Linked DNA regions of Macaca fascicularis. The protein of the gene in region 1 interacts with the protein of each later gene in a biochemical or structural test. Links are inferred from orthologs where the notes say so. Each region holds a gene or a part of one and is shown in the gene's direction. Other genes may lie near its edges.

Region 1 (6,021 bases):
CCCTATGAAGAGCTCTGGGGATGTGAGCATCTTTCAGAGTTGTCCACCACTGGGTTGAGGGGACTAAACTTTTATACCTCTGCACTGATTGGTCATTGGATATAGAATGCCCAAGAAAGGGAGCATAACCTTGGATGAGCTGGCTTTCTTCTGCTTAGGCAACTCCTGAAGGGTTCTGACAGCTGAGGGCCATCTTTTAGCAGCACTCTCCGCAACTGGAAAATAAATCCTTCATTTTTGAAGAGAGTTCTGGGCTTTGCATCACAGCATCCAGCACAGGGGTGAAGGATCATAGGGGAGTAAGGCATCAATAATAATTCCTAAATTTCTGATATGTACATCCCGATGGGTGCACTTAACGACCGTATATTACAATCATTGGCTTACTTGGGAAAATCCCCACTAGAGTAGGTGCTACTCAGGGGCAAACTATATTGGACAACTAATGCACACCCCTAGAACTGGCATAGTTTGCTAATTAAGTGAATGTTCATCTACTTCTATTTTCACTCCCCTCTCCCTTATGTCCTTTGCTCCCTTCCCTCCTCATCGTACTGCCATCCAATGTGGGAAAACTTGAGCAGGTTATCTGAGGCCTCACCTGCGCTGGAGTTGAACAAATAGGAAATCAAGCTCGTCTGGTCCAGGCTCTCTGATGGGCAAGACAGGCAGTGCCAGGAGGAAGGGAAGGAGGGGCAGTTGACGACATCTCAGGCATAAACTGTCTTTCAACTCTCTTTCAATGCTTCAGCCCCTATAAACTCAGAGCTGGCTGAACCAGGTCCTCTCCAAAAGATTGATTGGATAAAGGCCTGCTGAATCCCCCATAAAGCCAGACTCCATTCTCTAATTTGCTCTTCCACTGATGCCCGCCCCCCACCTCTTACAGCTACTGCTGGGGGTCAAAAGACAGAATTTCACATCGTATTGGAGTTCATCTGGAATCTGAAGAATGGATAGGAATCTGGAGATAGGAATCTGGGGAAGAAAAGGAATGGATAGGAGAATGCATAAGGAGCAGGGCTGAAATAGTAGAAGAGGCAAATCCTGCCCTGAGAAGATGAACCCAGTTCAGTCCTGCACCCTTCAGCCCTGTTCCCGCTGCACCCCAGTGACCCAGTCCCCTTCCAGCCCCCACTCGTGGGAACCTGACACCCTACACAGGCAGCTCTGCCTGCACTGAGAGTAAACAGGGAGCCGTTAGCGTGTCGGGTGGGCGTGGGCGCTGCCTGGAGACGGTGGAGAAAGCCAACCGTCTCCTCCTCTTTTGTCTGCGCTGGGCCGGCGTTAGAATTATATCCCATCTTCACGTTACTCGGGTTTATCCTTGTCAGCTCTTGCCACCACCCCCAACTGCCCTCAACACCCAAGTCAGAAGCTGCCTCCCGGGAGCCCTTTCCCCTGGCAAGCCTCCCCTGGAGCCAAATCCTGGCCCCACCCCCACTCCCGCCCAGCTGTGGAGGGCTCCTTGGGAACCTTAAGTGGAAGCCTGAGTGTTGAGCCTCCGATAGGAGGTGAAGGTTGCGGAGACAGATGCAGGAGCTACCCTAGTCCCGCAGCGAGGAGCTGCAGGGAACTACGGTAGCAATAGTGTCACGGTCACTGCGGTCACTGCAACACAGTACCATAAATGCGGCTCTAGGTGCAGACTAAAGCATCCGCGCCTCAGCAGGTGACGCACGCAGACCCGGTCTCCAACGCCACCTCCACGTTCCCTGATACACCAGAGAAAGATGTTGGATCCGTGGCAGCCGTCTCTACCCAACGCCTCCTACCCTCCCTTCCCCAAAACCTCCCGCTACGCTGCCAATACTCTTGTCTTCTCTCTCTCTCTCTCTCTCTCTCTCTCTCTCTCTCTCTCTCTCTTTCTTTCTCTCTCTCTCTCTCTCTCTCTCTCTGTCATTCCGGGGAATCGAGGGTGGGGGCGGGTGATAAAGAGAGGTGGGCAGGAGAGAAATCTCTAAGAGGAGACAGGACAGATCTAGGGAGGGGGCGAGCCTGGAGGACAGTCGCACAGGGAGGGGCAGAACTCCCGAGCCCGGGAGGGGGTGCACAGTCACCTGGTGGGACAGAGGCTGGCGGAGGGACGGGAACCGAGGCGGGGTGAGCCGCGGGAGAGTGGAAGGGCAGGCGCCTGGGCTGGGGGCGGAGACCAGGGGGGGCAGGGAGGCGGGGAAGGAGGGCGGTGGGAGCCTGAGCCCATCGCAGCGTGAGCAGGTGGAGCCGCGGTGGGAGCCCGCCAGGCCGAGCAGAGTAAGGCGGCGGGCTCCGCCGGGGCCATGGAGCTGCTAAAGCTGAATCGGAGCGTGCAGGGAACCGGACCCGGGCCGGGGGCTTCCCTGTGCCGCCCGGCGGCGCCTCTCCTCAACAGCAGCAGTGTGGGCAACCTCAGCTGCGAGCCCCCTCGCATTCGCGGAGCCGGGACACGAGGTGGGTGCCCCCCTCATCCCCCTCCACAAGCTCTTTCTCACTGTACCCCAGAACACTAATAGAGTCCCCCCACGAGCTCCACACTATCTCCTCAAACGCCCACACCGTGCCCCTCAGCCCCCAAACAGCTCCTCTCACACCTTCACCCCCACAGCTCACAGGTTCATAGCTTCACACCACCTGGTCGGAACTCCTTCACATCCTGGTCCCCTGATTACACCCAGAGCCGCTGCTTGCCCCAAAGCACAGCCCCTTCCCCAACACGCAGCCCCTCCTAGACACCAGTTAGAAGGCGAGGAGCTCCTCTTGCCAACCCTGCAGATCTCCTTTTCCCTCTTACATCCAGTTCACAAAGCCACAACAGAGAAGGGAAGGAAGAAAGGAAGGCAGGATTGGGAAAAGAAGGGGGCTGGTTGAGGGAGGGAGCACTCTGGAAAGCTTGAATGGGAAACCGAAGATGTGATCACATCTGACACCTCAGCCCCCAGGCATCCCAAAAAAAGATCCTCAAATCTGATTTAGGCTGGACACTAGGAGATGCCCCTTAAAACTGCCTGTCTCCATTTCACTCCTCAAACCCCTCTGCCTCCCTAGTTGGAGCTTTCAAGGCTCTGTGCCCTCTCTCTTTGTCTGCAAGTAATGTCTCCAGCTATCTTCCAAGCTCCCTCTTCAGCCCTAGACTAGGTGCTGGGGGTACAAGGCAAACTAGACCCAGTCTGGTCCCTCATGACCCATAGCCAAGTGCAGAGAGAAAAAAGCAAATGGAAAAATCACAGACACAGTGGAAATCCCATGAAAAGGTTTAAACTGTGGGCACCAAAAGAACTTCACAGAGGCTAGAATCTTGGAGCTGGGTCTTGAAGTTGAGTGGGCAGAAAAGGAAGGATGGGATTCTAGTGAAGGAAATAAATTTTTCTAAACTTGAGAAGGGAAAGTTGGAATAAATTGTAATCCAAGTATTTACCCCATGAAATAATCTATGCTTTCTCAGCCCATTTGTTACACACTCACACTTGGATTTGTCATTCAGCCAATATTTATTGAACCAGAGATTGTGCTAGGCAGTGGGAATGTAAGTTGAACAAAACTGACACAATTCCTACTTCACAGAGCTCAAAGCTTAATGGGTGAGACAGACAAGCAGGGGATAGAAGCACAAAGTGGAAGAGCCTTGATAGGGAAAAGATAGTGGGAACACAAGTGGAGCACCTCTAGCCCAGCCTAGCCTCCGTGAGAATTAAGGTTGGCCTCTTAAGGAAATGAGATACAGAGTGAAAAAAATTAGGGAGATTGGCTCTAAGCTTCCTGTTGGAAAAAAAAGAAAAGTGTGTGTGTGTGTGTGTGTGTGTGTGTGTGTGTGTGTGTGTGTGTGTATGTGTGTGTGTGTATATATATATATATATATATATATATATATATGAGAGTCAGTCAAGTAAACAGGCAGAAGAGGCAGAAAGCATCCCAAATAAAAGATGTATAAAAAGCTCCAAGTTTGAATTCATGGCACTTTTATCCACTGTGACATAGTTTTGAGTGGCTACAACATATATCTTAAGAAGGGAATAATGAACAGGCTGGAGACCAGCCTAGAGAGTTTGCAGAGAGCCTATTAGACCTGACCATGGAATGTGGACTTTATCCTGAGGGCAATAGGAACTACTAAAAGATTCAGTAGCACTACCAGGATTAGTTCTATAATGTGGAGAATGGATTGGAAGACATGAGATGGAAGGCAGGGGGGTACTTTAGAAGGTTACTATATTACACTGGTTTAAGTGAAAGATGATGCCAGCTGAGACTACGGTAATGGCAAGGGGGACAGAGAGAGGTGTATAGATTTGAGAGCCTTTTCTGGAAATGGAATCAACAGATTAGAAGCAGAGAGGATGGAAGAGGTCAAGGGATGACATTCAGATTTCTAACTTGGACAATTGAATGGATATTGGTGCTATAGCAATTGTATACAATGAGCAAGATAACAAAACAGCAGAAATAGGTTTGGAAGAAGGAATTATGAATTCAGTTTGGAACCCATTGAGTCTAAATGTTAGTGGGATCATCCAGGTGAGGTTACCTAGTAAGCTATTGAATCCAGGGGTCTGGAACTTACAGGAGAGGTCTGAGGTGGAAATACAGACTTGAAGGTATTTGCCTACAGGAGGTAGAAGCCATGAGAATAGTTAAAATCATAATATTTTGTATAGAACGAGAAGAAAATAAGTCCTGGGTCAAGACTCTGCATAAGACCATTATTTAAAACCCAGGCAGAGAAAGGAGAATTTATGAAGGAGATTCAGATGAAACCGTCAGAAAGGCAGGAGCTATGCCCTTCCAGAAAGCAAGAAAAAGAGAGTTTCAAGCAGGTTGGGGTAAGCGATGTCAAATGCTATTGATGTAAGTTAGATAAATAAAAAACAGGACAGTCAGAACAGCATCTTTCAGATTCAGTAACAAGAAAATATTTAGGAGTTGTAGGTATTGAGGCTTGACTATAGTAAGTTGAAGATTGGGCTGGTGGGAGAGGGAGTTATGAGAAGTGAACCAGGGTATATAGCCAAAACTTTCAAATGTTTGGTAGAGAGAGAGAAAGAGAGAGAGAGAGAGAGAGAAAACCAGGATATTGCCAAAAATAGCATGAGATTGAGGCAGCTGGGTTGGGGTAGGGGGGCGGGTATATGTGTAGGTTTGTTGTGTGTGCGTGCACACATTTTAAAACAAGAGCTTTTAAAAGTGTTTGATGTTGATTGGGCCAAGAGAGGAAGATTGAAGGTGCAGATAAGAAAGGGGATAGTCAATAGAGAAGAGTCCCTGTGAAAGCGGGATGTGAAGCAATTCAGAGCACAGGTGCAAAAATTTGCCTCACTTATCTAAATGCTTCTCACACATTCGGATATTACCCAGCCAGTCAGATGTTACACACAGAGACCCTGTCAGCCACACTCACTCAGATATTATCCCCACAGATGCATATGTTACCCAGGTTCACTCCAATGTTACCAATAGAAATTTGGATGTTACCACTTTATTCTTCTTATATAATCCATGCAGACTTGAGTATTACCCATGTTCACTCAGATAGTACCCACAGAAAGACAAATGTTACCACACTCACTTTAATATTGTCCGAAGTCATTTTGGTGTTACCCATCCATCAAACACTACTCACTTTCATTTTATTATTATCCACACACAATCAGATATTATCTATGCTCACTTAAGTAAGCTTTCCCCAGATACTACCCATAAAATTACAAATATTACTCTCACAGATAATATTACAGATAATACCCACAAAGGCTTAAATATTACTTACATTCACTCAGGTGCTCAGTTATTTCACTTATTCAGATTAACATCTTTTTTTTTTTTTTTTTTTTTTTGAGACAGTCTCCCTCTGTTGCCCAGGCTGGGGTGCAGTAGCATGATCACGGCTCACTGCAGCCTTGACCTCCACAGGCTCAGGTGATCCTCCCACCTCAACCCCCTGAGTAGCTGGAACTACAGGCATGTGCCACCACAAGTGGCTAATTTTTTGTATTTTTTGTAGAGATAGGGTTTTTCCATGTTACCCAGGCTGGTCTCTAAATGCTT
Region 2 (6,151 bases), on another chromosome or scaffold:
TCTGCTCCCCTATTGTATTGTCAGCTCTTGTTCATACTGAATCCCTGGGACCCAACACAAAGTAAGTGTTGAATAAACATGAATTACATGGACCAAGGGCCGGGAGTTGAGTAACTGGTATAAGGTAGGGAATTTCTATAGAAATGGTCTCAAAGTGTGCTTGGTGGACCAGCATTTTCAGTATGGCCAGGGAACTTGTTAGAAATGTGGATTCTTGGTGGGGCGCAGTGGCTCACACCTATAATCCCAGCATTTTGGGAGGCTGAGGTGGGTGGATCACCTGAGTTCAGAAGTTCGAGACCAACCTGGCCACTGGGGAGGCTGAGGCAGGAGAATCTTTTGAACCCAGGAGGCAGAGGTTGCAGTGAGCCGAGATGATGCCACTGTACTCCAGCCTGGGTGACAGAATGAGACTCTGTCTGAATGAAGGAAGGAAAAGAAAGAAAGAAAGAAAGAAAGAGAGAGAGAGAGAGAGAGAGAGAGAGAGAGAAAGAAAGAAAGAAAGAAAGAAAGAAAGAAAGAAAGAAAGAAAGAAAGAAAGAAAGAAAGAAAGAAAGGAAGGAAGGAAGGAAGGAAGGAGAAAGAAAGAAAGAGAAAGAAAGAGAGAGAGAGGAAAAGAGGGAAAGAGGGATAGAGGAAAAGAGGGAAAGAGAGAGAGGAAGGGAGGGAAGGAGGGAGGGAGGGAGGAAAGGAGGAAGGAAGGAAGGAAGGAAGGAAGGAAGGAAGGAAGGAAGGAAGGAAGGAAGGAAGGAAGGAAGGAAAGAAGAAACGAATTCAGATTATTGGGCCCTTCCTCAAGCCCGCTGAATTAGAAGTTCTGGGGATATTTTGATAACAAGGTTATGTTTTCAAATATGTCTTGCCACAGTCACAAATAAGACTAGTTTTCCCAACTGAACTACGAAAACCTTAGCAGGCTCGTGGGGAAACCACTGGAAATCATTTAATCAGCTCTTTCAAACATATTGCCCATAAGTTGCAGAAACGCAGCTGCCTCTCAGGATTAGAAGGTGGAGCAGCAACCGGAGGTGTCTCCGGGCCGCCCCCCGCCCCACCTTCCCTACCCCCGCCTCACCCACTCGACCCCCACACTGTCATCGCCACAGTCCCTCCACTCCAGAGGGAATTCCAGAGCGGAATACGGATTCCGATTTTAAAATAAGCGCTTCTAAATCTTTCTCCTTCCCTCTAAGACGAATGAGGGAAAGAAAGGGAGAGGAGTTGAGGTCCCAAGGTTCAGGGATGCCTGGTGATCTCCAGGTCCCAGGCTGGGCTGCCTCGGTGCACGGAGAGGGCGAGGGGCGCATTGTGGAGCCTTGGCAAGCGCTGCTCTTCCTCGATCCTCGGTTTGCGGTCTGTGAAATGGGTTTCGCAGTGCCTTTGCGGGGACGTCGCGAACTCAAGCGCCAGCAAGCCGATTCGAACTCAAAGGGCTTCAGGGTGTAGACGACCACCGCGCACTGAGGGACTACGGGTCGGCCCGCTCCGGAGCCAGGAGAGTAACCGCGCGCAGGGAAAGGCGCACTGCAGCCTTGGTGCCTCCCTTCCCTCCACCGGACGGGTGAGTGACGACGGGCGAGGTCCTCATCTCCTGGCTGCGCAGCTGAGTTCTGGCAGGTACGGTCCTAGGGGTGTGAGTGTGTGGGCCCTCCGGAAAGGTGGGAGGGGCGAATGCCGTGGTCTACCCAAGCTTGCAGGGGTGCGGTGGGCAAGTTCCCCAGGACCCTCGCTGGCGCCGCTTGTCGGCAGCTGGGAACAGTGGGCGCCGCGGGTGGCGGTAAGTTGGCCAGGGAAGGAAACACATCGCTTTCCCAAGCCGGATTCCTCTGAGCAAAGCCAGATGGTGTCATCCCCATTTTACAGCTGCGTAAAGAAAGTCCCAGAACACCAACAGCCAGCTGTGGCCGGAGCCCTTTCACTGACCCGGAACACTAGCTCTCAGAAACCTGGAGAACTGCGAGGGCTTTTAATGCGGCTGAGAAGAAAGTAAAGACCCCGACTCCTCTCCTTCGAAAGAGCCCACACAAGTATGAAGACCAGTGCCTCGGACGCTCCGGGGTAGGGGGGCCCACGCCCCATCCCTCTCAGAATCGCGCCTTACTGACGCTCAGTCCCGCCCAGTGTCCACCCCCCACCCCCGCCCCAGTTTCCTTTCTGGACCCTCCGGTCCCCAAAGCGAACTAAGCTAGCGGCAGCTTCTCCATCCCAGGGAAGACTCCAAACTCCTAGGTTTCCCACCTTGGAGAGCACTGCTCTGGAATGCGCAGGGGAGCGGCAGCTGGAAAGGGTTGGAAGGAAGCTTCTCGGACCCAGAGGGGGACAGACACCGGGCCCAGCCAGGGAGGGGTTAAATCCGCCCCACTGGACCACCTCCCCCTCTCCCCCAGGAGCCACTTCAACCGGTTGTCGTCCCAGTGGCCACCCTCTGAGCACGTGTTGCTGCCAGTCTGCGTCAGCGCTGGGTAAATACATGACTGGGCGACGCCGCCGGGCGGGGCTATTTAAGAGGCAGCCGCCCTCTGGTCCTCCCTGAACTTGGCTCAGCTGCCGGGCTGCTCCGGTTGGAAACGCCAAGCCAGCTGCGTTCTAATCCAAAAGGTAGGTCCCTCGGTTCGTCAGCGGGGGATCCAAGTGTCGTGTGTCTTTGAAGAATGCTGTCGTCAGCTTTGTGCCCATTTCCATTTTGCTTTTCTATTTTCTGTGTCTTTCCTCCGAGAGCTCGAAAGACATTTCTTGAAGTCAGAAACAACGGTTCCGGGTCTAAAAGTGAGGTCTGGGTAGGTAGAGCTGCTTTAGAGGCTTTCACGCGCCGGCATACCCATTCGCTAAGATTCGCATGCAGATTGAGATTTGCTAGCTGTTACACAGCGGTGCTGGGGACGTTGCAATATTTTCTAATAAAATACCAGAGGGTTTTAAGATTCAAATTCATTTTCTAAATACTGCAGAAAATTTCGAGGCTTTACGGATAGAAATGTGAGGGTGTTTTATCCACTAGCGATCTAAAATGCACGGGGCTTTGGAAGCCTGAGTGCTGGGCACCTATTTCTGATTTTAAAACCTGCCTATGTTTTGCGTAGTGGCTTATTGCCATTTCCCACCTACACTTTGAGAAAACTTTATAAATACGGCTTTATTTATTGCTCCTACATTTTAAACTGTGCTTCTCTTTTTCGTCATTTACTGTATTTCCATATTGAAAGCTTGTTAGCTATCTGGAAAGGTGCTTTCCCTAGGGTTCTCATTTCTCCCACGGAGTCTTCCCTTTAGGATATTTTTTTCACACTATTTTTAATCTCGTGGGGTTTTATTTTTCTTCTTTCAGTTAGAAGAGAGGCACTCTGCAAACACTTCCTCAAACTTTAGGGAAGCAGAAAACATTCCTTCTGCTCAACACGGCAAAAAACAGGGTCTCTGTCTGCCCCTCGGCACTGGGTGTGGAGTTCCCAAAGACCAGCCGTGTGCGCCCGGGGGCGCGCGCCATGGCACTCGACTTGAGCCCTCGTGCTTGTGGCGGCCTGGGGAGTCTGGAGCACCTGTGTTTGTCCTAAGCCGGTTTCTGGGTGCCCTGCCCGCCGCAGGAGCTCTCGGATGCCCAGCCTTTCCGTTAACGCCCCTTCCTCCTTTGCTCCCTACAGCCATGAACAGCGGCGTGCGCCTGTGCGTACTGATGGCGGTACTGGCGGCTGGCGCCCTGACGCAGCCGGTGCCTCCCGCAGAGCCCGCGGGCTCCGGGCTGCAGCGGGCAGAGGAGGCGCCCCGTAGGCAGCTGAGGGCAGTGCAGAGAACGGACGGGGAGTCCCGAGCGCACCTGGGCGCGCTGCTGGCAAGATACATCCAGCAGGCCAGGAAAGGTAAGAATGCTGCCTCCCCATCCCTCACTTCTGCCCTTGTTCCCAGGCTCTGGATGCTGACCCTCTTCTCTAGCGCCGGCCTAATGAAGATGACCTCTCTCGGTAGGAAACAAGCAACATGGTTTCTGGCCGTCCTTTGTAGCAATCTGAGAAGGGGTATGGAGGACTTAATTTATAAGTAAGGGGACCCTTCTTGAAAAGCTTTCTTTGAACTAATTTTTAGCAATGTTGCTGATTAAGTTCAACACCATTTTACCAAGCCATTAAAAGATAATTATTGAACCCTAGGAAAGGGTTCCTAGATACACTAAATACCCTCTACTAAAAACGCAAAGAACCTGGGAGCCACCCAGATACCAACCCTTGGAAATCCTCTAGCAGGAAGGCGTCAATGCTGAGAATGCCTGAGATCTGGCTACAACAGTTTAAGAAAGCAGTGACAATGTGTCCATCTCCACCAAACCATGTAACAGAAGGAAAGAATCAGCAGCAGTTTTGTGTTCTCCTTGCAATGACTTACACATGATTACCCAACAAGAGAGGTATTTGTTTTTACTTTACTGTCGCAGAGATGGTCACAGTTATAGCAAGAGCTGAGCAAGTCATTTTTCTCAGCATCAAAGTCTTTCTCCAGGAATAAGGTGATTCAGCCCCTCACTAGCTGAGTGGCATGCAGGCAGTCCTGACCTGAGGCTAGCTTTCCCCTAAGCTCCTTCCAATTCTTTGTGTGATTCAGAGGGAGGCCCATTCATCTCTTGTGACCCATAGGAATCATGCTTTGGATTGCGGCAGCTTTTTTCTGCCAACTTTATCCCCAGTGGCACTAATAATGAACACTGGCTGTGGAGGAGTGTGCTGAACAGTACAAACACAGCTGGACATTAAAATAATTCAGCAGGCCAGGAGCAGTGGCTCACGCTTGTAATCCCAGCACTTTGGGAGGCCGAGGCAGGTGGATCACATGAGGTCAGGAGTTCGAGACCAGCCTGATCAACATGATGAAACCCCATCTCTACTAAAAATACAAAATTAGCTGGTTATGATGGCACATGTTTGCAATCCCAGCTACATGGGAGGCTGAGGCGGGAGAGTAGCTTGAACCTGGGAGGTGGAGGTTGCAGTGAGCCGAGATTGCACCATTGCACTCTTACCCAACAGGTGTTCCAGGGCCTGGATTTGAACCTTAACCCCTGGCTTGACCAGAAAGGGATAAGATGAAGAGCTTTGGCTCTGCAGAGTTCTCCTGTGGGCTCACATGAAGGGAAGACTGGAACTCTTTGACCCAGAGGCTTCAGAAGGAAAGAACAAATCAGTGATTTGTTGTATTTCTTCCTGTCTTTGGGAAATTGCCCCACCCACTACCTTCTGTTTTGCTTTCCTACTAATTAAATTGAAGAAGATAGAAATACTTATCACATGGAGAGAGAAAGTCTGAAAGCTTTTGAGTTCCTGCTGATTTTCTGCCTGAAAATAATTTAGTGTCTGTCCCCAGATACAGGCTGAATTTCAGCCAGACAAGTCTGAAATATCCTAGGCTTTTCATTGATCTGTGGATCTGGAACTCCCCTCCCCCAATTTGGGAAAGACCCTGTTTTTCTTCTATGTAGGCTGAGGATATCTGCAAAAAGGCCTGAAATGTGCTGAATTGACTCTTGGTTCCAAAATTGTTCTAGGAAAAAAAAAAAAAAACAACTCATTACCACATTATTTCCTAGAACCAATACTAGACAATGGCTCTTAAAGCATAAACCTTAGCTGGAAAGTTTTTCTAGTCCTTCTTCTCAGCCCCCCTCTCCCTTTGCCTTCAGCCAATTGTGCCAAACAAACCCAGGAGAAAATAGCAATCACTTGGAAATTTAGATGCCAACACCTAGGATCAACGCTAGCTAAAAAACAACCAAACTCTTCTATGTGACAAACATGAACTAGGAATAAATACTCACACTATAGAAACTGCACGGTTTCTTTGAATATTTTACATATTTCGAAATCACATCAGATTTTTGCTCCACTATAGTATATATTATGCTTAAATGTTCTAAACAAGACAATGCATTCTTTGAGCAGTGCTTAAGAGTTTATCATTAGGAAATATCTGCAGCACTTTCAATGGCCCAAGAAGAAACAATTCTATTGGAGGGCAGTGGGTAAAGATACCTAGAGGCATTTAGTGGACACCTCCCCCATGCCCAGCAAAGCTTCAATGCTACATCTATATTGTCTCTCTCAGTACAACAGCCCTGCACAGTAAGTATTATTATACCCATTTTGCCAGCGTGGAAGCTGGGGCTCTAGAA

Evidence for each region.
Region 2: the proteins of CCKBR (region 1) and CCK form a complex in vitro, tested with the Homo sapiens proteins (3 studies listed by BioGRID). The link is inferred for Macaca fascicularis from reciprocal best matches to the Homo sapiens genes CCKBR and CCK.

What each region holds. Positions count from the first base shown.
Region 1 is NC_088388.1:59,821,844-59,827,864, reverse strand, and holds the start of CCKBR (gastrin/cholecystokinin type B receptor), read left to right. Parts: upstream 1-2,070; 5' UTR 2,071-2,279; coding exon 2,280-2,430; intron 2,431-6,021. UniProt on the Homo sapiens protein: Receptor for gastrin and cholecystokinin. The CCK-B receptors occur throughout the central nervous system where they modulate anxiety, analgesia, arousal, and neuroleptic activity.
Region 2 is NC_088376.1:105,094,005-105,100,155, reverse strand, and holds the start of CCK (cholecystokinin), read left to right. Parts: upstream 1-2,531; 5' UTR 2,532-2,598; intron 2,599-2,716; exon of another isoform or gene 2,717-2,777; intron 2,778-3,638; 5' UTR 3,639-3,640; coding exon 3,641-3,854; intron 3,855-6,151. UniProt on the Homo sapiens protein: This peptide hormone induces gall bladder contraction and the release of pancreatic enzymes in the gut. Its function in the brain is not clear.